Oreochromis niloticus: one gene and its partners. The protein of the gene in region 1 purifies or fractionates together with the protein of each later gene. This does not show direct contact. Links are inferred from orthologs where the notes say so. Each region holds a gene or a part of one and is shown in the gene's direction. Other genes may lie near its edges.

The links.
Region 2: the proteins of armc8 (region 1) and serine protease HTRA2, mitochondrial purify together in Homo sapiens (affinity purification with mass spectrometry; 5 studies listed by BioGRID and IntAct, with this or other methods). This does not show direct contact. The link is inferred for Oreochromis niloticus from reciprocal best matches to the Homo sapiens genes ARMC8 and HTRA2.
Region 3: the proteins of armc8 (region 1) and mkln1 purify together in Homo sapiens (affinity purification with mass spectrometry; 4 studies listed by BioGRID and IntAct, with this or other methods). This does not show direct contact. The link is inferred for Oreochromis niloticus from reciprocal best matches to the Homo sapiens genes ARMC8 and MKLN1.
Region 4: the proteins of armc8 (region 1) and ranbp10 purify together in Homo sapiens (affinity purification with mass spectrometry; 5 studies listed by BioGRID and IntAct, with this or other methods). This does not show direct contact. The link is inferred for Oreochromis niloticus from reciprocal best matches to the Homo sapiens genes ARMC8 and RANBP10.

Annotation. Positions count from the first base shown.
Region 1 is NC_031987.2:32,721,761-32,728,712, forward strand, and holds the start of armc8 (armadillo repeat-containing protein 8), read left to right. Parts: upstream 1-3,951; 5' UTR 3,952-4,115; coding exon 4,116-4,160; intron 4,161-4,473; exon of another isoform or gene 4,474-4,948; coding exon of another isoform or gene 4,949-4,951; exon of another isoform or gene 4,952-4,959; coding exon of another isoform or gene 4,960-4,995; intron 4,996-5,642; coding exon 5,643-5,719; intron 5,720-6,929; coding exon 6,930-6,952. Other genes in the region: dbr1 (lariat debranching enzyme), read right to left, coding at 1-236, 1,216-1,361, 1,446-1,523, 1,625-1,849, 1,945-2,030, 2,117-2,197, 2,280-2,404, 2,500-2,714 and 1 more. UniProt on the Homo sapiens protein: Component of the CTLH E3 ubiquitin-protein ligase complex that selectively accepts ubiquitin from UBE2H and mediates ubiquitination and subsequent proteasomal degradation of the transcription factor HBP1.
Region 2 is NC_031983.2:11,985,859-11,993,646, reverse strand, and holds the start of serine protease HTRA2, mitochondrial, read left to right. Parts: upstream 1-4,776; 5' UTR 4,777-5,037; coding exon 5,038-5,501; intron 5,502-7,049; coding exon 7,050-7,254; intron 7,255-7,375; coding exon 7,376-7,570; intron 7,571-7,684; coding exon 7,685-7,717; intron 7,718-7,788. Other genes in the region: mis18bp1 (mis18-binding protein 1), read right to left, coding at 1-20, 182-272, 407-528, 676-749, 966-1,267, 1,395-1,532, 1,651-2,473.
Region 3 is NC_031981.2:37,619,899-37,627,315, reverse strand, and holds the start of mkln1 (muskelin), read left to right. Parts: upstream 1-4,395; 5' UTR 4,396-4,460; coding exon 4,461-4,540; intron 4,541-5,570; coding exon 5,571-5,640; intron 5,641-7,417. UniProt on the Homo sapiens protein: Component of the CTLH E3 ubiquitin-protein ligase complex that selectively accepts ubiquitin from UBE2H and mediates ubiquitination and subsequent proteasomal degradation of the transcription factor HBP1.
Region 4 is NC_031972.2:6,977,704-6,985,469, reverse strand, and holds the start of ranbp10 (ran-binding protein 10), read left to right. Parts: upstream 1-4,766; 5' UTR 4,767-4,989; coding exon 4,990-5,188; intron 5,189-7,766. Other genes in the region: tsnaxip1 (translin-associated factor X-interacting protein 1), read right to left, coding at 68-177, 461-574, 662-825, 1,737-1,872, 2,193-2,389, 3,384-3,477, 3,577-3,714, 3,900-4,008 and 1 more. UniProt on the Homo sapiens protein: May act as an adapter protein to couple membrane receptors to intracellular signaling pathways.

The DNA of each region.
Region 1 (6,952 bases):
CTCTCGCCACCTCATCTTCTCCCCGCCCGACCTGTGCATAGATGTCTGTGAGACCCAACTTGGCGCAAAGCTCGGTGGTCTGAGGGTTGGTGTTGTAGCTCGGGGTGGCCTGAGGATGGGGCTTGTTGGGGTTGTAGGATGGCACCGTTAGACTGAAGTTGTCTGGAATGCCAAGATCACCGCTCAGATCCTCCACCACCTGCATCATAGCGGCTTCTGAAGCGCTGAAGTCCCACCTGATGGGTGTATGCAAGCCAACATTATAAAAGAAAGCATGAACAAAAACTGCTCAGTCATAATGAGTAAAAGCATCTGAAGCAAAGGTCAGCAGAAATGACAAAATAAAAGTTCTGTTGGGTGGTGGTGCCACTGAACTCATGCAACTGTGGTGTAGTTACTTAGTGCTGGGTTCAGACTACATTATATTTCTGCCTGTCCATAAACCAATAACATGGCAGCTCATTATTAGGCTACACAATACTATCTCCCTGTATGGACGCAAAGACACTATGTGAAGTATTGTTTTGGCATCACTGAAAACATGCATTGAGCTGATTTAAGCAAATATTGGCGTCCAGAGAAATCTTTCCTTCTGCTTTATTTTCGTTACCATCTACACATACAAATGTATTTCCATGACTAAGCAGTGTGACACACTACAAATTGCTCCGCGCTCAGTTGTGCTTGCTGGCTTTGGGAAGAAGGAAAAGAATGAAAACCAACAGCTGAAGCAGTGAGTTTCATACTCCCTCTCTAACTTTCACAGGTCTAACTAGCTGCACCAGCAACTTCATTCTTGTTCTGTCGTGACGTTGTACACAGCTGAGCACTGTAGTTTAAAAAAAATTCCAGTGACTAGCTCTAGTGCTCCTATTGGTTATTAACGTTTTACTTGCGCTTCAAAAAATCATAAAAGTGGCATTAATTTGTGGAGAACATGTTGCCAAACAAAACATGCAAATATCCAACTTGTTTTTCCCATAGAGCTTATTTTTGTTGCTTATTTCGCCAAGGCAACACAGGTGGTGATAACATCCTACACAGATCCTGTCTTCCAGAGTGACCTTTCCCCTGCTGCATGACACTGACTCTATGTTCAAGCTAATGTTTTTACAAAGTCTTAGTTCTGGGAGACTGATGTTGTTGAAATAATGCAAGCAGCAACTTAACTCTGCTTTTACAGGCCTTGTTACTTTTATGTGTATTCGTGTGTACCGTTCATGCAAGCCATTATTCTCTGGGGGGTTCCAGGGGTGAGGAGTGGTCCTCTGTAGAGTGTTGGTAGCCTTGAGAATAGCAAGCCACTCTGGATCATATTCAAGACCCTCAGATGAACCTGGTCTTTCAGGAATATCCACAATCTGAAAAAACAAAAGGTGTTAGCTCACACACTTTAACCCAGACTCTGATCCTAATATATCAATTAAAAAAAAAAGTTGTCCCACCTGTAAGAATTCCCTGTGGGGCAAACATTTATCCAGAGACAGGAATTTGGTTACGTGTGGTGCACTTTTACCTTTAGGCTGAAAATAAGAGATCACCAAAATGATAGTTAGAACGATTTAAACCTTATTTAAATCCTTATTAGCAGCAGTAATTCTAACTGAACAACTGTCACCCTCACCGGATGCTGCATAATGGCAGCAAATTTCACATGAAGATGCGCAGAGAACCAATAGCTAGGCTGGAGGTGAGCTAGGAGCTCCTCTGCAGCAGGACTTCCCAGAGAGTTTGACTCCACCTCCTGACGAAGGAATTTCTTCTTTCGTAACAGCTCCTTCGTGCTGCCGTAGTAGTAGATTCCACGAGGCCAGTCATGGCTCATGAAAATGTCTATGGGCATCTGGATCTTAGCAGAAATAATCATGTAAAATTAACACTGTACATTTAGCTAAACAAGTGGATAATCATTTAGAGTTCTGTGGAAGAACTTGTGAGATTTACCTGTTTTAATTTGAAAACCTCGATATTTCTGATGTGGTATGCACTTCGAAGCGTTTCAGGATTATATGGAGGGAATTCATGGTGGCCTTAAAGTGAAAACATTCCATGTAAATATGATGCATAGCAGTGTAGCCTCAACTATTTGAAAAGCTAAACAAACAAAAACAAATACCCTTTCTGTAGTCACGTGATTTGAAAATGCCAGATAAGCCACCAATTCTGATCCCTTTGTAGCGAATAACACCAGCATAACCTGGGGACATGTGATTATATAGGTCAGGCCTGTGGCGAGTCAGACAAGCTGGCAAACAAATTTGGAATCAGTCAGTCTCTACCTAGATAATAAATGTTTGGTGCCACCCAGCCTCCATAAGGCAGCTCTTGCAGGTGATTGGAAGCCTCGTGGTTTCCTCCAATGAAAATGGTCAACACCGGAGCCGCCTTCTCTCCAGAATAGTACCTGCAACACAGACAATAATAAAGTTTTAAATGTCCTTACTCGTGTCTTTGATTTAAAAAAAAAAACAAAACACACAACATAAACAAAGAACTTACTTGTAAAAGGTCTGCATGGTTCTGTACTTGGCAGGCACTGCCATGCACTTCAAGTCTCCCTCATTTCGCACTGCCTGGAAGTCTCCACAGCAAAGCAGCAGGTCCACCTTCACCCCTTCCTTCTGCTCCAGATACTCAATTGTCTCATAAATCTTGTCCAGCTCCCCATGGCAACAGCCTTCTACTGCAATTTTCATCCTGTGCAAACAGATGATCTGCCAACGTGCAGAGAAATTCACATTCACACTAAAGGATGGCTTCTGTTCTCATCTAAACACCATCGGCCTCTGTGGACACAGTCAAGCTGAGGTCCACGGCCTCCTAAAAGATGATTTGGCAGTCTATAAAGACATACAATGGTGATGATGATTACTTTCACTTAACACACAATTTCGCTAAACTCTAGTTCTAATATACATTTCAGTTGCGATTTTTTTTCTCACATCTAGTTGGATTATAGTTTTAGTTGCCCTTTAATCACACAGTGGAAAGGGACTTTAATAACCTATAATACGGTGTTGGATTATCTTAAACAGTGCTAATGAATTACCATGTGACTAAAGCTATCCAGGAGCAATCGGGTAGACACCCGTTTAATTTTAGCGCGTGAGCAGAGCTCCTGATGGACTGTCATGTTTCATTTTTCTAGAAACAATAAATTAAATGAAAGGTATGCGAACTGAAGATGACCCTAGCACCTTTTTTTAACACATTAAAGACTCAACAATGCACGCTGCACCGGGGGGTAGCCCTTGAATACGTGCAGTAAGTAGTGCACGACACTTTTTATTTTTTATTTATTTTTAATCTGACAAATGTGTCCCATCTTGCTTTTAAGAATCCTCTACTTCGTATCCTCACACTAGGAGCTCAGGTCCTACGATACAACACGCAACAGCTAGCTAGGCTACGTAATTAAGCGAAACAACTCGACAGCGTACATGGAGGAAATTTGTTAAACCAGAGCAAAGTAAACGAATTGAGTACTTACAAATATGGGAGTATAATTAACGAGTATTTTGAGCCGGTTTATAATCCATAAAGTTGCAAACTTGTGCAAAAAAACATGCTTATGTTTGTGGAAGAAACGAACAGAATGAATTTTCCCACCTCGCCTCTACCAATACGAGCGCATGCGCAATTCTTCATCAAATTCTAGTATCTAGCAGTAGATTCCATTATAAATGTGTAGAATTATATTACTATACTTGTTGCTAAGACTTGATTTAAAAATATATTGTATTTTAAAAATTACCGTTTTTATATTTATTCCTTAATCTGATGCATAGTTCGCACGAGTCAACCTACTGTGTCGAATCAAATTCAAGCAGACAGCAACTACGTCACGTTTATAAACAATATTTACTTTATTGACAAGTCCACGGTCTGTCAGAGAGCTCGCTAAGTTAGCGGTGTTGGTTTTTGTTGCATATCTGCTACGGGACATCACAGCTGAGCCTACGGAAGAATATAGAGGCCTGTTTTAGAAATAACGCTAGCGAAGAGTTGTGTGATTAGGCTACAGTTACTTTTTAAAGGCCTCTCAAAGCTGCTCTGGGGGGTGGAGTGTCTCCAGACTGCTGCGCCGATTGGGGCGCTCCATCGGAGGAAGAGAGATGGCGTGCTTATTGGAGGCCCCACTCCGCATCAGTGTGCTGTCTGTGAGTGCCAGTCTTTATAATTTCAACTAGCAGTGTCAGGTTATAGAATGCAAGCGCCAACTGCGAGTAGCTGATTTTGTATGGTCAGCTAGAAGGTGTCAAGTATAAAGGTTTTTCTGTTAGCCATAAAGCTAAGTTAAAGGCATTGCAACATGTAGCGGTCCGCCTACGTAGCTGTTGTAGAGAATGACTTGTTTCCTCGCGTTCCCCGGGCGGGCGGGAACATTCTGAACACAATAAAGGGAATACATGCGAGTTGTGCCCGCTCGCCCCGTCGTTGTAATCTAAAACAAAATTAAGCGAACAAACTAGCTGTCAGTGTTACTCGGAATGAGTTAGCAGCTAATTGCTAAGAGTACCAGTGCTGTCACCAGTTTTGCAGTAGTCAAAACACGTTTATAGAATGCATCATGCACATTGGATAACAAGTTGTAGGAATGAGATTTTTATTCAAACCACTCAGTATTATTTGATTTTAAGTTATGCGCCGTCTTAATTGCAATAGCAAACTTAACATTGTTAACCTAGCTAACGTTAGGTGCTCCTGCAAGTAACATTAGCAACTGTAGCATACGGTTAAGCTAGCGAAGCAAACTTTGCTAACTCACTGGTTTCCTTACTCTTGAGGTGTTTTTATATGTAGTGTGTCGGCAGTCAGAGCTGTAGTAACTGGTAAGACTCTGGGATTTACTCTAGCAAGTGACACTCACTGCAAACTGTAACTTGGCTAATATAACGCAAAATGTTCCACGAAAAAGCGCGTAAGGAGCAATAGTGAAACGCCCCCCATGGTAGGTGTATGCAGAAAGGAGGCAGCGTGATTGAAGATATCATGGTAACTGATACTTTAGCATCTCAGCTTGACTCTTTTTTTTTTTTTTTATAACACGAGTTGATCCCTTATTGTGTATACATGCTTAATGCTGTGTAATTGTGAAATGAATGTTTGCCACAGTGGCTGTCTGAATGAGAGGTACACAGGTACAGAACGTGTTGGGACACCTTGTGAGCTACGTGCTGGCATCACAAGTGTGACTTCGTTGGCAGCTGGAGGACGTTGACTTCTCCGGAAAGTTCTGGTCAAAGCTGCCAGTGATATAAACAAAGTTTTCTGGTGTCGCATGCAGCCACCGGGTGCAGTGTCAAAAAGCTTTTAAAGGCTCCTGCCGTGGAGCCTGCTGTATTTTTCTCTGCGTGTAACACAAAAAGTGTTATTTTAGTTGTAAAAAATAACAATTTAAAACTGCCCTTTTTATGTATAATTAATTATTGTTTATTTAATGGTTAATATTTGTCCAGTTAGAAACCAAATTCCGTAGGGTTTTACTCTGCTGAAATATGTGCACTTTGTCTGTTGTCAGATGTGGAGCACAGCGTTTGATAGTGTAGAGAAAAAACACTGTACAAGGTAAATCCAGGGTGAGGTCAGTGATTTCTAAAAGTAATGTTTGTGTTTTTGCTTTGTTTTTTGTTCTAATGCAGGAAGTCACCGCCACCAGTCGGCATTATGTTGACAGACTGTTTGACCCCGACCCACAGAAAGTGCTTCAGGGAGTCATGTAAGTGTGGGTCTGATCGCGTATGACATATACACATGTAGATCAGGGTTTTTCCTGTGTCAGAATAGTTCTTATGTGAATACACACAAAAATACTGTCGCACCTTATATAGGTAAGGCAAGAAGTCTGTGCATCTTATAGAGTTTTTTTGTTTTTGTTTGATGCACAAAATGCAAACTTGTAAATTAAAGTGAAGTCTTACATATATTTTTTTCACAGTTTTCATTAATTCTCTTGGTGAAAGGCCAAAACCTGTTGGGTGGGTGGAGACATTGCAGAAAAATCTCTGCGTGTCCTGTTTTGTTTGTTTTTGATCTTGTTTTAAATTTTGTTTTACAAAGTGCAGGAAAAAAGGGTTGACAAGGTTTGAAGTAATTTTTTGGCAGTAAATGACAGCTGTGAAATTCTGCTTACTTCCAGTTTGCAGACTTTATTCAGCCACTGCAATAACACATCTTTGGGCTTTCCTGATTTTTTTTTTTTTCTTTCTTTTTTGTTGAAAATGAACGAAATCGGTGGTTTAAAACCCCCCCAAAACAAACAGTCCACACTGTTATGTTAAATTCAGCTGTTGTTGTTGCTAAGAGTTTAATTCCACCGGCTGTTTATCATTTACCAACACATGTGCTTGTTTTTAATGTCACAAATTCTAAACATTAGTGACAACAGTGTTCCAGAAGGAGTGTGTGCTTACATGCACAGGCTTAGCTGTTTGTGACTTTGTGTCTCACTCTCACTCTTGGTCTGGACTGCTGTGATTTGGACTCGGACTATTTAGTTATTTTTAACTTACGGGGAGACTAGCTCTGGTTACGACTTGTATCGCTTCTTTAGCCAAGCGCCTGACCACCTTAACTGCCTCCTAGATCAGTGTGCTTTTCCACTCACTTCGCTGCAGTTTGATATCACATATCATCTGGAGGTACTAACAGCAGCAGAAGCACACAGGGCGAAAATGCACTTAGATGAAGCCTGTTCATTTCTAATGTGTTACATGAGAATATGTAGAACATGAGATTGATATCAATGATTTCTGTTGTTGTTTGTCTGTCAGCCTGCCTGACCTGTGTCAGCCTGATGTGCTTATAACTTAGCAATTAAATGATAACATGCTATAAATCAAGGTGTTCATATTGACTCTTAAGGTTATATTATGTTGTTTCAAATACATTCACATGTCTCATTTGGATGTATTTGTATGCCTTCACAGTGACATGAAGAACGCTGTCATAG
Region 2 (7,788 bases), on another chromosome or scaffold:
GTCTTCCTCTGCCTTGGTTGCTACAGGAAAACAAAATTTAGGTCTTAACCAAGCCCAAAGGTGTACAACAATCAATCTAGACAAATTATACAAAAAATAATTAATTTAGTCACAATCCCCCTGCAAAAACTAACACAATCTACTGACTGCAAGAGCAGGGATGTGAAATTGGTGTTCTTACTCTCTCGACTCTGTCAGCATCTTGTCGTAAAGCGCCTTCCAGTTAGGAGGAAAACCCCTTTCAAACTTTTTCAAAAACCACCTGGGAAACTCTGAAAAAAAAAAAAAAAAAAAGTAAATCCATGTAATACCATGCATAAGACTCTCTGTGCAGCTTTGCTTCATCTTTTTATCCATTTTTAATTTCTTCCCACGCACAATTGGAAAAAGGTTCAAGTCAGCTTACCAGATTCAACTTTTAAGTTCATCTTCCCAACCAGGATGTAAACCCTGCCGGAGATGGTCTTTATCATAGATTTAGAAACCCTGTGCATGATGACATTACTGTTCCATGGTATGTTGTCTTCCCTGGGAGGAAAAGACAGCAGTTAACAATGAACCTCATAAAAAATGTCTAAGTCTAATGTCTAAATATGTATCGAATGAGAAAAGCAATGTGACATCATGTCATTCTCCTCATTCACAAAGTTCAAAATTACATCGAACAACACTTACCCATGGATTCCATCAACAAAGAGGCCCTTGCTGTTTTTCCTCAGGAACCACTTTTTGAGATAAATCACACTCTCCTGCCAAAGGAGGGAAACAAGGGGAGAATGATGAACCAGAGAAAACTCGTATAGGGAAATGCAAACTGCCGCTGACCTATTTTTCCAATTTGCTCTTGAAATGTATCAGTAATCTAAGCTGTTTTTCTTCAAAGAGCTGGAGTTTTCAGGCTCAACCGACACAAGCCCTGTCATTTGTTCACTTATATTTCATTAAGAGGCATTTGTTTTACTCACGCTGGGGAATGTCGCTTGCTTAGGCCACTTGTTGCACTTGAACACAGCCTCTTGTCTCTTCGGCACCAAGATCTGCGGAGAATTGAGCACAAGCGGGTCTTCGAGCAAAACGGGCTTCGCCGACACAGCCGAGGTCAGAGCGTCCGCGGAGGGGTCGGCGTCTGACTGGCAGTCAGCTGACTCTGATATGCGCCGGCTTACAGGAACATCACTTTCTGAGGTATTTGTAAACACGCTGTTGTCCCTCTCAGCAACACTGTGGGGTGTGGAGAGAGGACTGTCTCCGGACCTAAGGGAGTTAACTATGAGAAAGATATTGTGCCATAAGCAAAGGTGTGTTGTGCACAGTGACCTGGGAAAACTCAAACTATATCTATAGAAACGGCTTAAACCGGATGTCCTGCTTTTTTAACACCATAGCACACTCACCTGCATTAAAGATGTCCCTCGTGGTATTGATAACTTCATGAACTCCCCGCCGTTCCCTTTTGCTTTCTCTCTCCTTCATATAAGCAAACATCTTAGCTGGAGACATTATAGGAATTTTTTCCAAAACAACACCACAGCCTGTTTCAAAACAGAAGAAATATTTTATTATTATTCTATTGTAGGCGTCTACCAGGTGATTTCTATACACCTCTATATTCTGATGTAAGGTGGGGAAAGGCAGGAAAAAATGTCTCACGTCTCTCTGCGACTAATTTTCTTGGTGTAAACATGTTTTCGGGGATCCTCTCTGGTTGGTCAGCAGAGCATCCTCTGATGTTCATCCAGGTGCTGTGGGTGTTCTCCTCGCTGAGAGCAGGGGCTTTCCTTTGCCGAGGCTGACATGTGAGTTCATTTCTCACCTCCTCAGTGCTGTTGACTTTGTTAAACTCCTGCTGCTCCCATTTTCTCTTCCTCAGCCTCTTCACCATCGGGGAAAAGGCACTGGCTGTAGACACGGGTTGGTGGAGAGGAGCGCATTCTTCATCAGAAGCAATGCTCTTGCAGTCACTTTCGACAGGTTGAACCTTCAACGGAGTCCTGCTGGACACGATGAACCGATCCGAGTCTCTGACCTGAGGAGGTTCTTTGTGGATATGATTAGTCAGAAAGAGAGGGTGAGATACGGCTGTCGACTCCAGGAAACGTCTCTCGCTTCTTGTGCATCCAAGTCCCATTTCAACCACTGGAGGCGTTTCCTCCAAAGACTTGCGGATAAAGTCTGAATACGAACACAGGGAGGTTTTCTGTGGACTCTTAATGGGCGAGAGGATCAAAGGCTGGGCTTCGCTGCCGAACCTCTGATTCTCATCGAATTCGTCGGTCACCCAGATCCTCTGCTGCTGCTTCCTGGGCGACTTTAAATTAACTCTGTGCTCCTCTCGAGCGTTGTTCGGCGGACCGTTGCCGTCTTTTGCGCACATCGCTTCCTTTTGCACCTTGGATTTGAGCTTAGCAAAAACTTTGGCCGGAGATTCAAACTGCGGTTTTGTCTGTTGTAATAAATCAAGATACGAAGCCATGATTCTCGAGCTGAAGTTACCTGATTATAGGTCCGAGACGTGAGCTAGCAGCTAACGAGCTAGCCCGCAAATTTTAAATTTCTCATCTCTGCCGCCTTTGGCTCAAACCGTGTGACGTACTTTCACAACAAGTACGTCACTGCCGCTTATCTCTCTCTCTCTTTTTTTTTTGTTAAACTTTATTTAACAAACAATGAGTATACGAACAGATGAAGTATACAAAACAACAGAACATGAACACACAAAGCCAGGGGTGAAAAGTTACAAGAATACACGCAAAAATTCACAGATATATATTGTTTTGAGAGCCTTTTTGTTGGTAGAGTCTGATATTGATTGTATATACATTTCCACATCCTTAAAAAAATGACAGAAATATGGTGTTTTGTTAGTAAACTTACATTTATGGATAAAAAATTTAGCTAAAAGTATTAACAAATTTTATCATAAAAAACATTTATCATTCCTCTTGGGGAACTTAAAGAAACAGAATAAAACATTTGCCCATCGTAAAGAAAATTCCCTTAAAATATGGACAATAACAAAACTGCTAAATTCCTTCCAGAATCTCTGTGTAAAAGAACAGTACCAAAAAAAGATGTGTCACAGTTTCTGGATGATCCCCACAGAAAGTACAGTTAGCATTTATGTCTCTTTTAAATTTTACCATGTAGTGACTGGCTGGATAACATTTATGTAGAATTTTAAATGAGACTTCCTTCACCTTATTTACAATCAAATATTTATGGGGGATCATCCAGACTGTCTTTCACTTGATATCTGGAACATATCGGTTCCAGTAAGATATTACATATGGGAGAGAGACGACATCTTCTTGGAATAAACTACGTATTCTCTTATTGCTGTTACCAAGTTCCTGTGAAAAGCAGATTTTTCCTATTGGTGACTCAGCTGGATCAGGGAGAGTGACTGAGGTAGATATTGAGCTGTCAGTGTTTTTATATAACATTAGAGTCCCTGAGGGTATGGCACCAAGCACCACTGAGAATTCCTGAACACTGATTGGAAAATTATATAGTGCAATGAAGTCATTGTAAGTAAGTAGTTGTCCCTCTTTATTAACCAGCTGAGCCACCAATAGGATCCCATTTGGACCCAAGTTTCCAGGAAAAGTGATTTATTTTTAAACACTGCCGCTTATCTCTGGAGTTTTGTTTTTATGAATAAAAACTTTATTTAAAAGTTTGAAAACGTTGCATTCTGTAAGTTTAAAAAAATATATATTTTATTATTTAACATGAAAATACAAATAAATATGATACTTTTATTACTCACCAAAGGTTGAGCATGTAAAAAAAATGAGTAAATAATAATAAATGGATAAACGAAGAACTATACATATATAATATTCAATATAATTCAATCTAAAATAGTCAGTTACATTTAAGACTAAAAAAATGACAACCATTGTGATATGACTTCAGAAAAGTAACTCATAATTAATTTCTTTATGAAGATTTTTTTAAAAAGAAGATGACTTTTTCACGTGATACATACAGAAAACATAAATACATAATGTGAATTTCTTTCACTTTGTAATTTTCCAAAATAAAAAATTATATTTGCTGTTGAGTTGATATATGTATGTATATGTATATATGTATTGCATATATTGTAATTGATATGTTTGTGTATTTTAACTTATATTTGTTCTTTATCATGTAGTTTAAATTATTAAATTCTTCTAGTTTTACACACACACACACACACACACACACACACACACACACACATTCTATTCTCTTTAACTGTAGCCATTTATTAGTCTAACCACCTTCCATTTGTGGATAAGAGCTCCCCAAGAGTAAAATCAATTAACTTAAAGTCTTTATTTGCATAGCAAATAATAAAAAAAGAAAACAATATTAGATTCAGACAGCTTTTCCTTAACTTTAAGGATTTAACTGTAAAAGCAATAATATTTTGGAAATTTTTATGCATTTAATTAATTTATATATCATAATTCATAGGCCTAGCAACTTATTTTATGTGGCAACTTTCCATTGGTACTTGTACTTAAGGAGAATAGTATAACGCAATTAGTATGCACAGGTCTTATTTATTGTACTCTTTTTATTGTACAGCATTTTGTGACAGTTTTTCTGTAAAAAGCGCTTAATAAATAAATTTTACTATCTTGATAACATGCATATACATGAAAAAATACGCCAAACCTGACCGTTTCTGTTGTAACTCACAGATAGTTCGGTGATTTTTTTAACCTCTACATTTTCTCCCCTGCAGAGGGCAGTAATGAGTACAGAAGCCACAAAAGTCCAGGGAGGAAAAAACAGCACCGAAGAAGAAAGTGTCTTACCACGCAGGCGCAATCATAAACTACTAGTGACATTACCGTGTTGAGGGTGTTTTGCTAAAAATTAATAGGTGGAGAATTTTTTTGTGTATTTCCGTTATTCTAACTGGGCTAGATAACGGTACACTTTAAATGAAGGCGCGTGAATAACAGACTGCTGCAAACATTGGGATATAAAGTGCTTTTTGGCTGTCTTCAAACCGACGTTGAGCGAGTAAAGTGATGCAACATGGCAGCAGCGGCTGTCAATAGGGGCTTTCTTTCAGCATTAAGGACTCAAAGTTGGTGTCAGACCCGAGGACTTAACTCGTTAGCTGAGAGGACAGTCAGTCGTGTCTCCTCTGCTGTGATATGTAACCACGAGGCTGCAGGAGGACACACAAGCCCGGACAGGAGAGCTCAAGCTGGGGAGAGAAGAAGAAGAAACGGTCGGGACAGCAACAGAAGCTCCTCTTTGCTCACCTCCGTGTCGGTGGGTTTGGGGCTCTGTGGTGCTGCGCTTCTGGACACTGAAAAAGACCTAACGGGGGACAAAGAAGTGGCAATATCCCGGGGATTTCTCCAGCACATCCTCCCATCGGCTCAGTGCGCTTCTCCCTTCAAACCAGACGGCCCCCGATTTAAGTACAACTTCATCGCAGATGTGGTGGAAAAATCCACTCCAGCTGTGGTGTACATTGAAATCGTGGGCAGGTGAGTTAACTAGAGAGGTGCCATTGACGGTAATAAATGTCAGTGAGTTTGTTTTCTGTGTCTGTGTGTGACTTATTCGGTTATTTTCCTAAATCAAGATTTCAGACAGCTGTGAGCACACACTGGAGATAAGCACTCAGTCCTAGAAGCTGATCTTACTTGCCCGGAGATGTACCAGAAAACACGAGAAAAGGGGCATTTTCTTTTTTTGTTTATTACAGATGCAACAGAAAAGGACCCAAAGCATTTGTGATTTTATTTTCAAAAAATATCATCAGCTGCTGATATACTTTAGCAGTGGATAGTCTTGTTTTTATCAGTAAGTGGAATCAGGTAAAGTCCTGACAGTCAGCCCCCACCTTTACTGTTTGTGTCACAATAACCTTTTACTGTGTGTGTGTGTGTGTGTGTGTTTTCCTTGAGCAACAGCTCTCATAAAGGAGATCTGCTTTTACCTATTTTCAGTCCAGTCCTTTTACCTGACCTTTTTCCAGAAGAGTTTTTTTTTTTTTTTTTTTTTTTTTTTTTTTTAAATTTGTTTGTTAAGCTACTTAATGCTGGCCGATGAAGCTGAAGCATGAAGCTGAAGTGACATTTAAAAAGGCACTTAACTCATTGGAGGAATAATGGACAACTTGCCTGAGAACCAGTTTTTGAATTGTGTTTTTAGGCACTTTGTTACTGCAGCTTGTCAAAAAAAAAAACCACATAGTGTTTTTTTTCTTTAACTGAATCTATGCAAAATGCCAAAGATAACAGTTTGAAAAGCATGAAGTAGTATTTTTGAATCAAGATGATTCCAAAAAGCTATTAGCTGAAAACATGACACATCTCAGCAGTGTGTCCTTAAAAAAATTGAGGAACCTGGACAAGTGGAAGACGCTTCCTTTTTTTAAAAAAAACAGAAGAAGAAGAAGAAGAAGAAGAAGAAGAAGTGACAGGCCTGTCTAACAGTCTGTCTAAATGAAAGTCAAAAGAAGACAAAATCCAGCAAAGACCTGACACAAGACCTGAGAGATGCATCTTTAAAACACAGTGCACTGCATTTCAGCCTGTGATGTTGGGGATGTCAAAATTTATGGAATCGCAAACATAAGAGTAGCATCAGATCTCGATGCTACATTTCTGTTAGCATCTGCCAATCCATCTTATTATTGTTGACAGTTCTATTTTTATTATTATTTTTTTTAGTATAACAATGATGTAAAACAAAATCAAGCATATCTGAATAGAAAAACAGAAAGACTATTCCTGAAAACTACAAAAAAATTCCAAGAGAACTTGGAGAGTGTTGATGAATGAAGGTGATCACACCAAATATCAACTTTAAAACTAATTAGAACTGTACAAACACTGTTTTTGCCTCATATACCGTAACTCTATGTTTGCACGTTTCAGTAAAAACAAGGAACTTATATTCCATTTTCCTAGACACACATGAAGAAATGAGGGGTGACTCAAGACTTTTGCACAATACTGTATCTCCTGCCATGATAAACTAACCCTGATGAACCAGGTTCAGTAACATAAGCTGCATTTACTTTACAGACACCCGTTCTCAGGGCGAGAGGTCCCAGTGTCAAACGGCTCCGGTTTTATCATCAGCAGCGATGGTCTCATCGTCACTAATGCCCACGTTGTAGCCAACAAGCGAGGTGTCCGTGTGAAGCTCACCAATGGAGAGACGTATAATGCCACCGTGCAGGATGTCGACCCTGTGACTGACATCGCCACCATCAAAATCTCTGCGAGGGTGAGCAAGAAAATAGGGGCCAGTCTCAGTGAAAGGAACTAGACTAGCATGTGTGCTTTCACCACAGACAGAGAAACAAAGAGCTTTATTTCAGATGCTCTTTCTCTCCTGACATATGCAGAACCCGTTACCCACTCTCACACTCGGCCAGTCGTCTGACGTCCGACAGGGAGAGTTTGTGGTTGCTATGGGAAGCCCGTTTTCGTTACGAAATACAATCACATCGGGGATCGTCAGCTCAGTGCAGAGAGGCAGTAAGGAGCTGGGCCTGTCCAACTCCAACATGGAGTACATACAGACCGATGCAACCATTGATGTGAGTACTTGAATAGAATATATTTAAACTGGAATATGTTGATAGTGTATTTTCAGTGACTCAGGCGTCTCCTATCGTGTTTCTAAATGCCACATTTGACTAATTGTTTTTCAGTTTGGAAATTCTGGAGGTCCCCTCGTTAATCTGGTGAGTCACAAGTCCTGTTTGTGTGTCTCACTCTCACACACTCACACTCTCTCTCTCTCTCTCTGATGTAA
Region 3 (7,417 bases), on another chromosome or scaffold:
AGCTTAAAAAACTGAAGTTATTCATTAAAGTTATATTTAAAAACAAAATTAACTTTTAATTTCACATTAACAGATGCATCTCATCAACCTGGGTAGCTAGTCAGCGCTAGCTCTAAACGCTAATGCTTGAAACCAATATTCCATAAACTGGTGGATGACTTCGCTGTGGCTACAGCCATCCTTTATATACAGTCTATGTTGCTTCTCAACAAGGCAGCAGGGAACACTCTAACAAACACTGTGTACAACAAACACACATTTACTCACTGGCGGTTTAACGCAGCGAGGCATTAACACTTCCTTAAGGATTTCTATATTTCACTCAAGAGTTGTTGGAAAGCAGAGGCCGAGGAACCGCAGGATAATGAATACTGGATGCAAAACAAACCTCGAGTCAGTGCTAATGTTTCTCTTCGTCTGCTTAATGTTGGCTGTAACACATTATGGGCCATCACTTTATATTGTTATTTACAGCTTTTTGTGCTGTCTATAACAAACGCAGCATTTCTACCAGTGCAAAGATATTCAGTTCAGATGGACGAGTTTTAAGGTATCATCCTGTAAAATGTAACAAACCAAACTTCTTCCAGTCCCTCATTAACAGGCACAGCACCCAACTTATTATCACTGCAAATACAAAATGTACCTGTCAAACAATTACACAACAGATAACATCGTGCTTCAGCTCGACAACGATTACGTGACCCAACATCTAACCCACACTTAGAAAAATGAAACATCCACGCTCGCCTGTGTTCCACAGTGGTAAACCACGTCTCACTTGTGTTCCCAGTTTACATCCATGCACATGAAACTTGACAAGCGTCCCTTCCATTTCTAGTAAGTGGAAGTAAGGGTCTGCCAAGTGCTGGAAGTGTGCTTAAAAGAAACACTGTTATCATTCAGTGCACACCATCATCAAGCCTGGATGGAGTCCACTTGTGGATGATTCATCAAAAACTAACACTTTTGCTGAGATTTGACAAAAACATTCCAAAGAAAGACTGGGCGATGTTGGGAAGCCGTGGGCTGCCGTTTCTCATTTAGTACATCTTTATGTCTTTAAAGCATGATTTTTCAAAGTTTGATTTAATTAAATTGCTATAGAAACAAATAATGTAGCGCTTACTGCCTTACACTGACTTCAGGAAAATGCCTGAAACGAGACACAAACTGCTGTCACCTCTATTATCTCATGTTCGCTGTTCATCTTTGGTGCGCGTGACCTAGTTGTCTTTGCCTTCTGTTGGACTCTGTCAGTGTTTTGTTGGATGGGTGAATACTAAGGACAACAATGAGAGTCTAGAACTTCATCCGTGTGTCAGATGTGTTGCTCCGTGGCTGTGTTGTTGAATATTGGACTAAATTAGAAACATAGGTTGATAAAGGTGCAGACCTTGTATCGCAGTTGCCATAAGGTTAGTGAGTACAGTAGATTAGGAACAGTACATACAGCTCTTAAGCTCTTTTTTGAAGTCTATGTACGGCAGTGAGATGGAGAGACTTGGTGGCAGTCAGGACCGTGTGAAAATACCAGAAGTCCAGGGGTCTCTGAGGCTCACAGACCCCCTGTGGTTTGAATTAGAGTGGATTACAACTCTCAGCAACAAAAGACACCTCTCGGCTCCCCCTTGCTTACTTTTCTTGAGCTCTGTGCTCGTCTGAACGAGTGACACAGCCGGCAAAACTTGGTTCCTTTTATGCAGCAAAGCCACAGTGCACTGCGAGTCTAAAGCATGACGTCCATCGCCGTGTGCACACTGCTCACTCAGGCTTTAAACTATCAGGCCGAAAATAACAATCATTGGTTCGTTTATTTTAAGTAACCAATCTAGAAAAGACCAAGCATGAAAGATGCCCGCCACATGTTAGCAGCTGTTGAAGCAAAGCTTTTCAAATTAGTTTTTCATTTTCTCAAACTCTGAATTTTCACTTTTATAAACTTATTTCAAATGTTTTATCTTATAAATATCATAACTGTCACAGTCCAGTGTCCTGGTTTTTTGATTTTCATCATCATCATCATCATCATTATTATTATTATTATTATTGATCTTCCTCCCCGGTCATTCGCGTCTCCCGTCTCTCCGTGTTCCCTTCGTTCAGATCAAGTCCGCGTCCCTGTGCTATTCTTCCTGTTTTACTTTGACAGTCCTCTCTTGTGTCAGTGTGTATAGTTTTGCTTTCCCCTTGTCTTGTTATGTGTGAGCACTCCCAGCTGTGTCCCATTCCCTTGTTATCCCTCAGTGTATTTTAGGCCTGTGTTTCTCTGTCACTGTTCTGTCGTCCTCTCTCCGTGCTGTGTGTTTCACCTTGCTTTTCTGAGATTGCCGTCCCAAGTTTCCCGGTGTTTTTGTTCTTAGTTTCTAGTTTTGGTTTTGTGAAATGATGCTACTGCGACGAAGCAGCCTCTTTACGTTTATTCCTCTGAGTGTTTTGCGTTTGGATCCCACATCCTGCCTGCCACACAGCCGTATCATGACAATAACATCATCACAACAATTTGTATTGATTGTTTTAGTCACCATTTAACTGTCGCTCTGGAATTGAGCTTCGATTTCTTTATAAGAAAGAAAATAGACTGAAAAAACTTGAATTGCATGATAGGAAGTGCATGCTGTGGCAACTGAATATCAACTCAAACTAATACGGACAATAAAACAACACATGTGAAGTGAATGGGGAACAAATGGGGAAAAGGATACCAATGACGAATATATGCTCACTGCACCAAGTGTTTGCTACAAAAACATGTGCTTCAAATGGGGACGAGGCAAATATGAATGTTACAGCTTTCCTTCTAAATAGGCAGGAGCTGGAACAGGTCAGCAACTGGTTTGAAAGTCACTGGTTCAATCCCTGACTTTCTCCAGCCCATATCTTGAAAGTGTCCTTGGCAAGATACTGACATTATCCCCAATGCATCCACTGAAGTCTTACAGTATGTGTGTAATTGTTAGAAAAGCTGCTGTCCATGGATGAATGTGGCTCGCAGTGAAAAGCACTGTTCAATGTTCAGCGAGAGTAGAAAAGCGCTCTATATGTACAGTCCCATGTACCGTGTTATCCCCTGCCAGTCACTGTTAGGCCTGAGATTTTGCTTTAAAAAAAATCTTCGATAGCAACAGATTATTCTGGCACAACTTCACCTACTTCCAAGGTGCATGGAGAAGACAAAGATCTGAGGATGTGAAGACTCCAGGACACTTATAGGGACAGGGAACAGCTTTATCAAGTGACCAGCGCTTTTCGAGGTGTGGCCTTCATCATTAAAAAAATCTTTGCATAGGGCAGAGCGAACCAGCCCAAACTATTCGATCATTCAAAGAGCTGGAGTGTTAGTTGGTACAAAGCGAGTGATGGTATCACTTTGATCTCAGAGACTATTTTCTACATTTTTACAAAGTGTTGCTTTCAGGTCGGCACACCTATCTGTTAAGAACAAGCATCCAGTTACAGAACTTAGCTGCCATGTGTCTTTAGTCAACTGACAGTAAAATATCCAGTTGCAGCAGAGCACAGCTTGTGGTGATCCAACAAAACCAGTCAAGAAAACCAGTGGTTGACGTTATGGTAGCTATGACCACTTGTATGTTAATCCGTGGAGGTAATTTATAGCGTTTAGCTCAAATCACAATCACTACACAATCAACTATATACTGAAAAATGTCGAGTCATCTTCTTTCAAAGTGTTTGCTGTAAATTAGGAGGCTGAGTTTGCTGTGTCTAACCGGAATAAAGCGCGTTAGTCACCAGATGATTCACCCACTCTCTAAGCTTCAGTGACTTCACATATAGTAAAACACTACGCTCAACCTGAAACGTGCTTTTTGAAAAGGGACACTGCTGTCTTTGTTTCAGAGAGGACACACTGCAGTCAGCTGTATGATACTGTATGATCAGCTTATTATTTCTGTGGGGGTCGTTATTCTATTCTATTAATATTTATGTATTTATTTTGAAACCCCTACTTCTGAATCAGGTTTAAAGAGTTTTGGTTAACTCTACTTCCAAAGCTGTGGAGCTGTGTAGTAATTAGGGATGATGTACATATTTAGGAACACGCTGACGAGAGACTGGGAGGAATGGGGCTGGAGAGGGGCGGAGAAGATCGGCCTGTGGCCTCAAAGCACATTAATGTCATGGAGGTCCTCAGTATATGTTTATTTTTTCCGGAATAAAATATTGTTATTATTTTATTATCATTCGCTTTTTATGTTTTATCGATTTAAGTTAACATGTTTCAGCTTAAATGATATTTGAACCCCCCCAGATAATTTATAAAAATACGAGTTTTGTTACGATGAATATGAAAAGCTGACTTGATAACTGCATCGTGCAGTGTGTTCATGCTACCGAGGACGCTTCGTAAACAATACAAATATGTGTACTGTCTCTTTAAGAGCTGTCAATATTCGCTCCTTGCTAACCTCCCGCTGTCTGTTATTTTCTGCAACAAGATGGCTGTCGCTCCCGAGAGCAGAGTCCTCACTTTCAGCGTTTTTAAATGGAGCTCTTACTCGTCTACATATTTACCTGAGTGAGTATCTTTCCCATCCCCTGGCCCAGCGTATACATTAGGTTTTGCGGTGGAAAGTGGTCTTTTGTCACCTCGGCGCACTTGTGTTTCTTCCACCCTGCCCGACTGGCCTAGCTTGTCTGCGGTCCAAGCAAGCTAGCGCTAGCTACCGTATGGGGCGTTTGGTTTCGGATATTTAGCCGCCCGATAATGATAATGTTGTCTTTCCGCTAAACATTTCTTGGAGGCAGTAGCTTACGATGTACTTTATGTGTGATGAAATGACGCTCAGTGATTTCTGTGAAATGTGTGGGTAACTAAGGGACAGTTTCCCACTTCAGTGTAGGATATCAATTGGAGCGTTACCTCAAAACGTAAACAAAGCAACTGAATGGTGTATTCTTCTCTTATAGTTATATTATTCCAGAGTGACAACCCCAAAAGCTTGGCATTGGAACACGCCTAGGTTATTCTTTGTAACTTCCGTTGTCACAGCTGTATAATATTTTACGCTTTGATTACATAGTGTACAATTCGGTATCTTAATACGTGAAAAACGAACGTCCACGTTAGCTAACTGGACTCCAGAGCTGAAGTAGGCAACTAGCTGCTGTTATCTAACCATAGAGCTTTGCTTTAGCAGCTATGCTAATGAGCTTGGTTATAGGCTATCTGAAACTGTCGTAACGAAAGGAAAACTTACTTATCGCTCACGCCAACACCCATGTTATAATCTAATATAAACGAAGTTCCCCATAGCTTCGCGTCTTTCGCCTGTTGCTGGTTCAGCACTCAGTAAACAGTTCAGCAGTAGCTGACTTAATGCTAGTTGGCTAACAACAACAGTTACCTAAATGAGCCTTCTAACAGAATGTAGCGTGACTCCAAAAAGTAGTTTTGTTATGTGATAAATCTACTGTCATAAGCTTCCGGAACACACACAGACCTGTATTCGGCCCTACTTTTCACTGCTGTCTTTGCGCGTTTTCTGCTGACTTGGTGGGATAATATTCCACAGTGGCTAAATACTTGTCCCTTTCTTTTTGTTTAGGAATATCTTGGTGGATAAACCTAACGATCAGTCCTCCAGGTGGTCTTCTGAGAGCAACTATCCTCCACAGGTAGGTTCATTTCTGGTAAGATGAGTTTTAATTTTTTTGACCTGGAACAGCAGTTGTCCATGAACGTCGTGATTTGTGTAGGTTCATAGGGCCACAGTTCATGGGTAAGTGGCTTGGCTAATTAATTAACATTAATATTTTAGAGAGGGGAACATCTTGTGAAGGTGTGTAAACAGGAAATTGTGCGGTCTGCACAGAGAGGCCAATGGGGTTGAGAAACCTTTTGCTTTACTGGGATGCTCTTAATTCTTTGGGAAATTTTGACATTTTAAGACGGGGCATCTGGAAACACGTCAATTACACGTCTGTGTCACGTCTGTGTTATTACTCACACCATAACTGCTACCCCACTTTCTGTAACCTTCTCCCAAAAAAAGTAACTACATGTCAGGTCACCGTACCACAACAACTTTAACAGTGTGCCAGGTACTTGAACTTGTCAAGTAAAAGTAAGTAAAACATTCCAAAAATGATTATTAATAACAGTGTAATGTAGTGAACATTATAAAGCTTAGCTGTGTTGGGAAGTTTGTAAGGGAAAATCTACCTGAAAAAGAAAGTGGAAGGTGTGGGTGCTGTGCCTGCTGCCTCACCTTTGCCTTCTCTTCCTGTGTTTTGTTTGTTTTTTTTAAACAGGTAACAGTTGTGGGAATTCTTTCTTTGCATTTAGCTTGATGGGTTTTGGTCATCTTCTGTAACTCCACTTGAACACTAAGGCTACGTTCACACTGCAGGTCTTAATGCTCAATTCCGATCTTTTGATCAAATTCGATTTTTTTGTCTGCTTGTTCACACTATAAATAAAATGTGACAGCAAACGCTCTCTAGTGTGAACGCTCAAAGCGGCCCGCATGCGCAAAAGAAGATGTCACACACAACGCGCTCTGTTTAGACCCAGACCAAACAGTATTGTTTGACTGATGGCCCTTAATATAGAGACTTCGGACTTTACGTTTCCCAATTTTTGCTTTAAGTTTTTTGTTATTTACATAATAATGTAAATAACCTAATAATGATCCTTATTGCTGTTTTAGAGGAGCGCTGCTTCAAAGGATAGCTGCAGATTTCTGTCAGAATCTGCAGATTATACAGTACAAATAAAATGTTCACGTTGTCTTCCCAACAGTTTCACTAACATCTACACTGGATGGCCAGGAAGCGTTCGCGATGTCTTCTCCGGCGCTGATAATTGGCGTCTGTCTTGTGTCAGTGACGTAAAAGACGGATTTAATGCGACCTGACCGTTCACACAGCAGTCGCTTTCTAAAACATCGGATATGTATCGGATTCAGTACCACATACGAAAGTGACCCAGATCGGATTTGAAAATATCGGATTTGTGCTGTTCACACAGTCATACCATGATCGGATATGGGTCGCATAGGGTCAAAAAAATCGGATTTAATGCGCTTTCGCCTGCAGTGTGAACGTAGCCTTACATTCTTGGCTTTGCTCCTTGAGGATGTGCCTAGAGTGGAGAAATGAAAGCAAAGCAGAGTTGTATACTCAGCTGAAATGGAATGAGTCCATATAATATAGATAGAGTACTTAATTTTATGGGGTTTCTTGAGGCATGCTGTTGCTGGTAGACCATCATTTATATGTCTGGTGCTTTTCCTCCTTATAGGCTGTTAGACTTATTTTTCTTGCAGATGTGAATTCTCAACTGTTTATGCCTTTTCTGTTTACAGTTTAATAAAAATGAATCCAGTGTTGTTCAGTAAACTATTATTGTTTATTTACACAGACTTGTTTTCTAACTAAATGGTAAAGTAAT
Region 4 (7,766 bases), on another chromosome or scaffold:
CATCCAGTATTTATTTGTGTGTGCATGCATATGTGTGTATGTTTCAATGTATATCTATTTTTATCACCTAGACTCATGGACAGGGAACATGTTGCTCTCAGGGGCATCAGAGGTGACTGGTTCCTCTTGTTGCTGGGACTGAATGTGGCTTTGCCACTGGGACCCACTCTCATCAGTCTGAAAAACATTTTGGTGGCAATGTTTGGTCGCTACTTTTTTTGTCAGTTTACGATGACATTTTGCAAATATTATTATTTCCTCCACTCTTTATGTCAAGCTGTCTCTAACGCTGGAATAGCAGTATCGATCTTCTGGACCCTAATTTATTCATATTTAGGCTCTTTATCAGCTTTATCAGGTGACATTTATTAGATTAGAGACAAATATTGACACACACATTACATTTATTAGAATATTCATAGGATTGAAAATCTGTTCAAGTTCTACATACGTAAAGTACCTGGACAGAGGTTGAGACGTGTGTCTTGGCCTGCATGCTGCCTCTTTTGTGGAGTTCCAGCAGAGTGTCATGCTCACTCTTTAACTGATCAAAGTCGTCCTGGAGTGTCTTCAACTTCACAATAAAAAGAAAAAAAAAGTCACCAAAGACTGTTGAGATGTTAAGTCATGAAGTCTACATATAGTATCCAGCATGAGATACCTGTAGCTCGGTCCGTTGGTGTTTCTGTTCAAGGGCGTCCCAGTCACACTGGGGCACAACACCCCAGTACTCTGCATTCATCCTGTTCAGTTCCTCCTGGGCGTTCCTCAGGTCTTCTCGACACACCTTTAGAGCAAGCTGCAGTTCCACAGGATCCTTCCAATCTAAATGGAAACACATGTAAGAGCATGACACACTTCCCTATAGACATTTATATTTTATAAACATAAAAACATATGTTTAGCTGTGCTCTAGAGGTTACTGTACTTGGGTTTTTTAAAAATATAGATAATGTTGGCCTTTTCCATCTTTATGATGAGCCAAAGGTTCTCAAGGAGGTTTTCAAACTTTTTCTGGCATGCCCCACATCATAATCAATAATAATACAAAAAATGTTGGAAATTAGTGAAATAAAACTTAAAAGAACAGATTTTTGCAAACTTTCACAGAGTTAGAACTCTTTCTAACTCACCGTTAAAGAAACACTGTGTTAAAGGTGAGTAGCTAAAGGTCTACTATGGGCAGAAATTCAGTTTCTGATGGCACAGATTTCTACCCATAGTCTACTCACTGGTATTTGTTTCCAGCAAACAAGCACACTTCCCAAAGTGTAAACTATCTATTTCTATAAAAAACTTACAGAGTTATTCTCCATTACTACAATAGTTACAGAGAGTCTCTAGTAAGTCACTGGAAATGTTTCCTAAGGAATACCATCCAATAAAGATATTGACAGTTTCAACGTTTAAACAAATTATTATTTTCAGTATCACTTAAAGGGTATCAATTGTTTTTCCTTAATTTCCATCGTACATATACTGTTACTATGCCGACTCCTCATAATAACCTTCAAATCATTTGGTCAGAGTGTGAGAAAGTAATCCCTTTGATAAATAAAATAAAATAAATCAATTAATTAATCCCAATAAAGAATATGTTATATTGTCTTAAAACCATACACGTTTATTTTGGGAAGAAATCACATCTAAATTCCCATCTAAAAAAAAGGACCTTAAGTTATTTTCAGTTCACTGTTAAGTAGTTAAAGATGTAATAGATGTTGTTATAACTGTACTTTTGTCTGCAGAACGCTCCTCCTTCACAGTACTTTTTGTCATGTCATTGAGCTGCCAAATCAGCAACCTGCGAGCATCACGCTCCTCCCGGTACTGCAGATACTGGTCAGACAGTTCTGACTGCAGATGATCCACCTTAAGAGGAACAACAGGCAGTGGGGTGACTGATATGATAATGATGAGCTATTAATTGATGGATAAATTTCCTTCATGCGCAGGCTTGTGTGTATGCTTTCATGCCCTTAAGCTTTTATGCTTTCATAAAAACTTTCATGCCCTTAAAAGTCACATGTCTTGATGCATTCTCAATCATCCAGGTAAGTAAATCTCCAAAAGTTGATTCTGTTTATCTAGATGTAGCATTTTCAGTGGGAGAAACGTTTCGTCACTCATCCAAGTGACTAACAGTCACATGATTAATTAAACAAAAATAAAATTAAAAGTATGCCATTTACCACTGCCTGCACTGTCTTCTCTCTCTTTCTTATGGCTTCAATCTCTTCCTTTAGCTTCTGCTTCTCCATTTTCAAGGCAGCAATCTCAGCCTGCTCCTCTGCCCAGCGAGCTTGAATCTTTCTGTCACATTCCTCTGTCACCAGCCTCAGATGGGACTGCAGTGGTTCCAGCTTTTTGATTTGTTCTCCCTGACGAACTGAAAAGATGTACACAATGCATGCATTACAGCAAATAATCAACTCACTGATATAAAGTCTTTATACAAAGAAAAGCTAACCTATACAAACTCCATCTTTTTACTGAATAGACAATTAGTTTAAACTAGGTTAGAATAACATGTTGTGACCAACTCTTTCTATGCTACAATAGAACTTATCATTTTACTGCCTACACAGACTGCTAGGACCTTTTAGAAAACTATTGGAATCTAGTGGAATCCTTTCCACTAATTTTATTAACCTCTTAACCCAGATTTGCTCTCACAAATGCTGAGTCGAATCCTTACAACGATGAAGAAAACTGTATGATTATGTATAGGATGATTTAGAAGAAAACACTCAAAAATGAATGGCAAAGAGACAGAATAGTACCCAGAGAAGACTCAAAATTATTAATATAATTACTGAACATTAACTTCACTAAGTTTTGAGAAATTAATTCTGAATAATATTTTTTTGACAAAGAAATACATTGCCTGACTTTGCAAGGCTGGATGGAACCACACTGGTTGGTGTGTATTATGACTGCAAGAAAGGTCCTAATGAAATTATACTTTGCAGTCAAAGTAGGCTAGACTAAATACTAGGCTAAATACTTTAGCCTAGAATCCTCATAATATATTCCCATAACCATCCTGTCTCTAAAGAGATATCTACGTTGTTGTTACTATTGTACATCCTCTCTTTGCATGTGCATTTGAACCAATAAATTTAGTTTGATGTAAGACATTTACCACTTAGATGTGAGAGAATATTGATATTTATTATAAATATATAACTTAACCCTATTACCCTATTATATTAACCTATTACCCAAAGGTAGTATATTTTTCTGTTTTTCCCAAAAATGTTGTGGGATGCCATTTCTAATCTGGTTCAAAACCTTCTCAAATCTGCTATAAATTGTTTTTTTAAATAGCATTTTTATAAAATCTATACAAATCAGGCTAGCTTTCTAATAGAGTTACTGACCAAAGGTGTTTTCATATTCCTTTTTAATGGCAGACAGAAGGGGTTGGTAAGTTTTGAAGGCAGTGATGAAACATTCAAATGCATTGCGGTAGACCTGTAGGCAAAGTAGAGTAAGATTTTAAGTACTTAGACTGCAGCAAGAAAATACGTGTATATCTTCTAAACATAAATACAATCAACAAAAACATTTCACCTGAAGTTTCAGCTCCTGAAATTTCGGCTCATGTGGGTCGATAGCATGAAGCTCCTTGCTCACATAGTTCTCCAGCTGCATCAGAAGTTGTGGCTTTCTGTCTGGGCCTGCATAAAAGAAACTGCCTCCTGTCCAGCACTGCATGATTGGTCACACAAAGGCACACACAGTACTGTGAAAGGAACTTTGCTGTTACACTGAAAGATAACGTTTATAAAGATGCCATAAAGTTCTTAAATGATCTTTATACCAATGAAAAGAATTTAGATGTTGGCAGGACAAAGTCAGACTGCTGTTTGTGAAATGTTGCCTGATTTACGTACCTTTCTCGTTGCACATGGTTGGACAGATACACCACCAGCACTTTCCTCTTCATGTCCTTCCTCTGATTCCTGGGCTGTGTAACTTTGCAGATTGTGTTCATATGTAAGTCTAATATGCAAAGAACACAGTCAGTCTGCCTTAAACGTACTTTAAATAAGCTTTGAAATACAAATGTATTTATACATAAAAACAAACGTAGCATGATATTTGGTGTAAATGAAGTCATTTTATCACTTGCCTTGTTTTTTGTGACGGTGTTAAAGGTGGAAATTTTATATCTTTGTTTGGTGACATTTATAGCTTTGATATAAAGGGTAGACAATAACAAACACTTAGCCCGTTTAAAACTTTTGTATTTCTTCCGTTTAACTCAATGAGATCAGCTTTAGCGTCGCACAGCACAACATTTGTAGCAGGGTTTCCATGGTAACGATGACTGACTACGCAACAAGACCCCACGTAGTTGCCCGGTGCGCGCCTAACTAATTTTAAAAATGGCAATGATTTTATCTGCTCAACTCAATCATTAACTTTGATATATAATAACTAATATATGGCAACGTGTTTTATAAAGGCTATTTCACATATCTGCTATATTAATTACAATATAATAAAACTTTGTAAACAACACTGTGTTTTTATGAACAGGCACATATTTCGCCGTGGAAATAATACTGCTATTAATACTTAAAAAGACCCTGTCACTCACAAATAAATACAAGTTTCACCATGTAAAGTTCAAAATTAAATTATATAACGTTTTGAAAACGTGTGTAAGTTTAACAGACGAAAACTACATTTCCTAGCCACCTATCTCACTGGAAGGCCCTAAACCCGTCTGACAGTAGTGGAACTCTGTAGTCATTTCTAGAGACATTAGCATAAAAGCGAGCGTACAGCTGAACTACAGTACCCACACGACACTGTTTCAGCCTACAGTACATTCTGCTGCTTATCCGGGGATGTCACACCGCTGCTATTTTCTCCCCTCAGTCCCTCTCACTCTCAGCCTACAGCTCCAGCGGACTGACACTGGGCTTTGGATAGAAAGAAACGAACAATAAGATACAAAAACAGGAGGCCAAAAAAATGACAGAGCTCGGAGCGGGAAGCCTGCCGCTGGGAGATCCTGCTTTTAATTACCAGGAGCACGAGCTTAACGAGAGGCTGAAGCGGCTTTACCCGGCTGTAAACGAGGAAGAGACCCCTTTACCCCGATCCTGGAGCCCCAAGGATAAATACAGCTACATTGGGCTGTCACAGAACAACCTACGGGTCCATTACAAAGGTTAGAGACCTGGCTCATCACTGATGGGCCTAAGTGTGTAGTCAAAACAGCAGTTCAAATCTGTCTGTGTTGTTGCGGAAGGGGGGTCTCTCTCTCTCATACACACACACACACACACATACACACTCAGTATGCGATTATGTTGACTGTGTATGTGCGTGTGCAGTCCTGGTAAATCTAGTCTGAGCTGCCTCTCCTGTCCTGTAACCTTGCTTTGTTTCACGAATGAGCAGAGGAATGCCCAGATGGGTGACAGTGAACTCGCTAACCCTGGCCATCGGTCTCATTACCGTCACACTGAAATTCATCTTCAATATCATGGCTCTTCTTTGTTTATTTACTGTTTATGACGTTACTGCTTTGCAGTAAACTCACTGCATCTGACGTTCTCCTCGCTTTGTACTGGAAGGGGACACTGGCAGCACTAACGACGCATAGTTTATTGGCAAACCCCTGTCTAACTTACGGGAGCTTGCTAACAGAAAGCTGTTAACCAAACACATTAGTTAGCCTTGTGGCTAACCAGCTAACGTTAGCCAACTTAGCTGTTCCTGATATTGAATTGAGGACAGTAGGTTCCGAGGTGGACACCAACAGAACTTGTTGTTTTCCAGTGCAGTGTTAGTTGAAATATTAAAGCTGTACAGTGCTACAGCAAACAGGATAAAATGGCATTGTTTTGTGTTTCTCGCGTGATTTCAGAGCAGTGTTCTAGAAGTCTTTTCCAATCATTTTTTCCGTCCACCTCCATTCAGATCTGCGTGCCCCGAGCCTAACAACAGCCTCAGGTCCAGTCTCTAGCAGGCAACAGAGGTGCTGCCGTGAGAGAGGAGGCCTCTGCGCATTACATTAGGCCAAAATGCACCGTTCTGGTAATAAATCCGGAGTATCGACAGGCTCTGGCATTTTAACGTTAACAGCAACCTGACGGTTCAGTCAGTCTTTCATTCAGATGGATAAAAGCTGACAGCAGGGCTTTTAGCCGTCTCAATTTAGCAACCACCTATATCAAAACAAGGTGACATCCGTGTGACGGCTTCTGTGCTGTTCAGACACCCCCGACACACACACACACACACGCACACACACACACACGCACACACACACACACACACACACACACACACACACACCAAAACAGGAAAACACTACAAGACTTTAATCACACACTGTGAAAAATCCCAATTGATAGGCTACTTTGGGCCCTGTGTAGAAGGCGAGAGGATGCAGGCAAGATGTGTAATTCAAAATTAAGGTTGTGTAATCCATTTTGTGAGGTTTATGGAGTGGTGGTCCTACAGTTTGTAAATAGCAGGGAGGGCCTCTTATTTATAGACTCGGGCCTAAAGCCAGATACAACCGCAGATCATTTAATGCATAATTGATCAGGTCCCTGCTGATGAGCAGTTGAATATGAGCTTCCATTCAGTTTATCTGTTGTGTTGAGAATGCTGATTTACCTTTTGCTATAATCAGTGCTTATAAGATCATTGTATTCTAGTCTAGAATTACCTAACAGCTCTGGCACTGGCTCAAAGTGGTGTATTGCTGAGGATGAGTCATGCCATTTCTTGTTGAGGTTATGTTGGACATGGAGTCATTATGTCTATGAAAGGTGCACAGATTCAGTGACACTGCACTATTGTTAAGGCATGACATATAAATAGGTTTGTTCTGGAGTGTGTGAGATATTTTTTTCTGCTCCTGGTTGTTCCTGCTCTGTTCCCTCACCCTTGTGGTTTGGATGCTATTTTGACCAGCGTGCCAATTTTCTCTGTTCAAGGCCATGCAGTGTCTACCTAGTCCTGCTGCACACTGACAGAGATTAATCCTCGCAGCCTCAGCAGCAAGATAGATACTTAAACAAACTTAATGACTTTGTACCAATAAATGCAGCAAATGGTGTTACTTTTTACACCTCTGGAGATGCAAAGACAATTTTTTTATTAACTTAGAAATAAAGAGAGGGTTACAGTTGCATAGTAGGAATACATAGTAGGAATAAATATAATGTTCTGTAACACACCCTATAGTGTTTTCTTTGCACTTTTAAACTATTACACATATAATAAATTCACCCTGATGAAAGACCAAGCTGTTGACTAAGGATTTTGTTGGAATACTAATTGTTTTGCTGTAGATTTATGTTTTATGAATTACAGTAATCACAATGTCTGTGTACCAAGCAAAATTTTAACTGAACAGCAATTTTCAAAAGCAAATAGTTTCAAAAAAGTCAATTAATCATTTCTTTGACCTGTGAGAGAAGCACTTTAATATATACTGTGAATAACCATAACAGGACTGAAGTGGAACGAAAGGAATAGTATGGGATTTCAAATTCACATACTTTTCAAAATTTAGTTGAGCAAAAGGAAAGCCTTTATCTAAATAGGAGCATGATGATTTCAAACTACAACCCATTTTTTGAGCTATGTTGAAATTAAAGTGCACATATAGAGAAACCTACAGGCTGCTGCGGAATAGTCACAACTAAGGCCCCAGTCATTCTCTGTTGTGTACAGACACCAAAAGCTGGAGTAATAATTGCTGTTATACTTCTTTGAAATCAGATGTC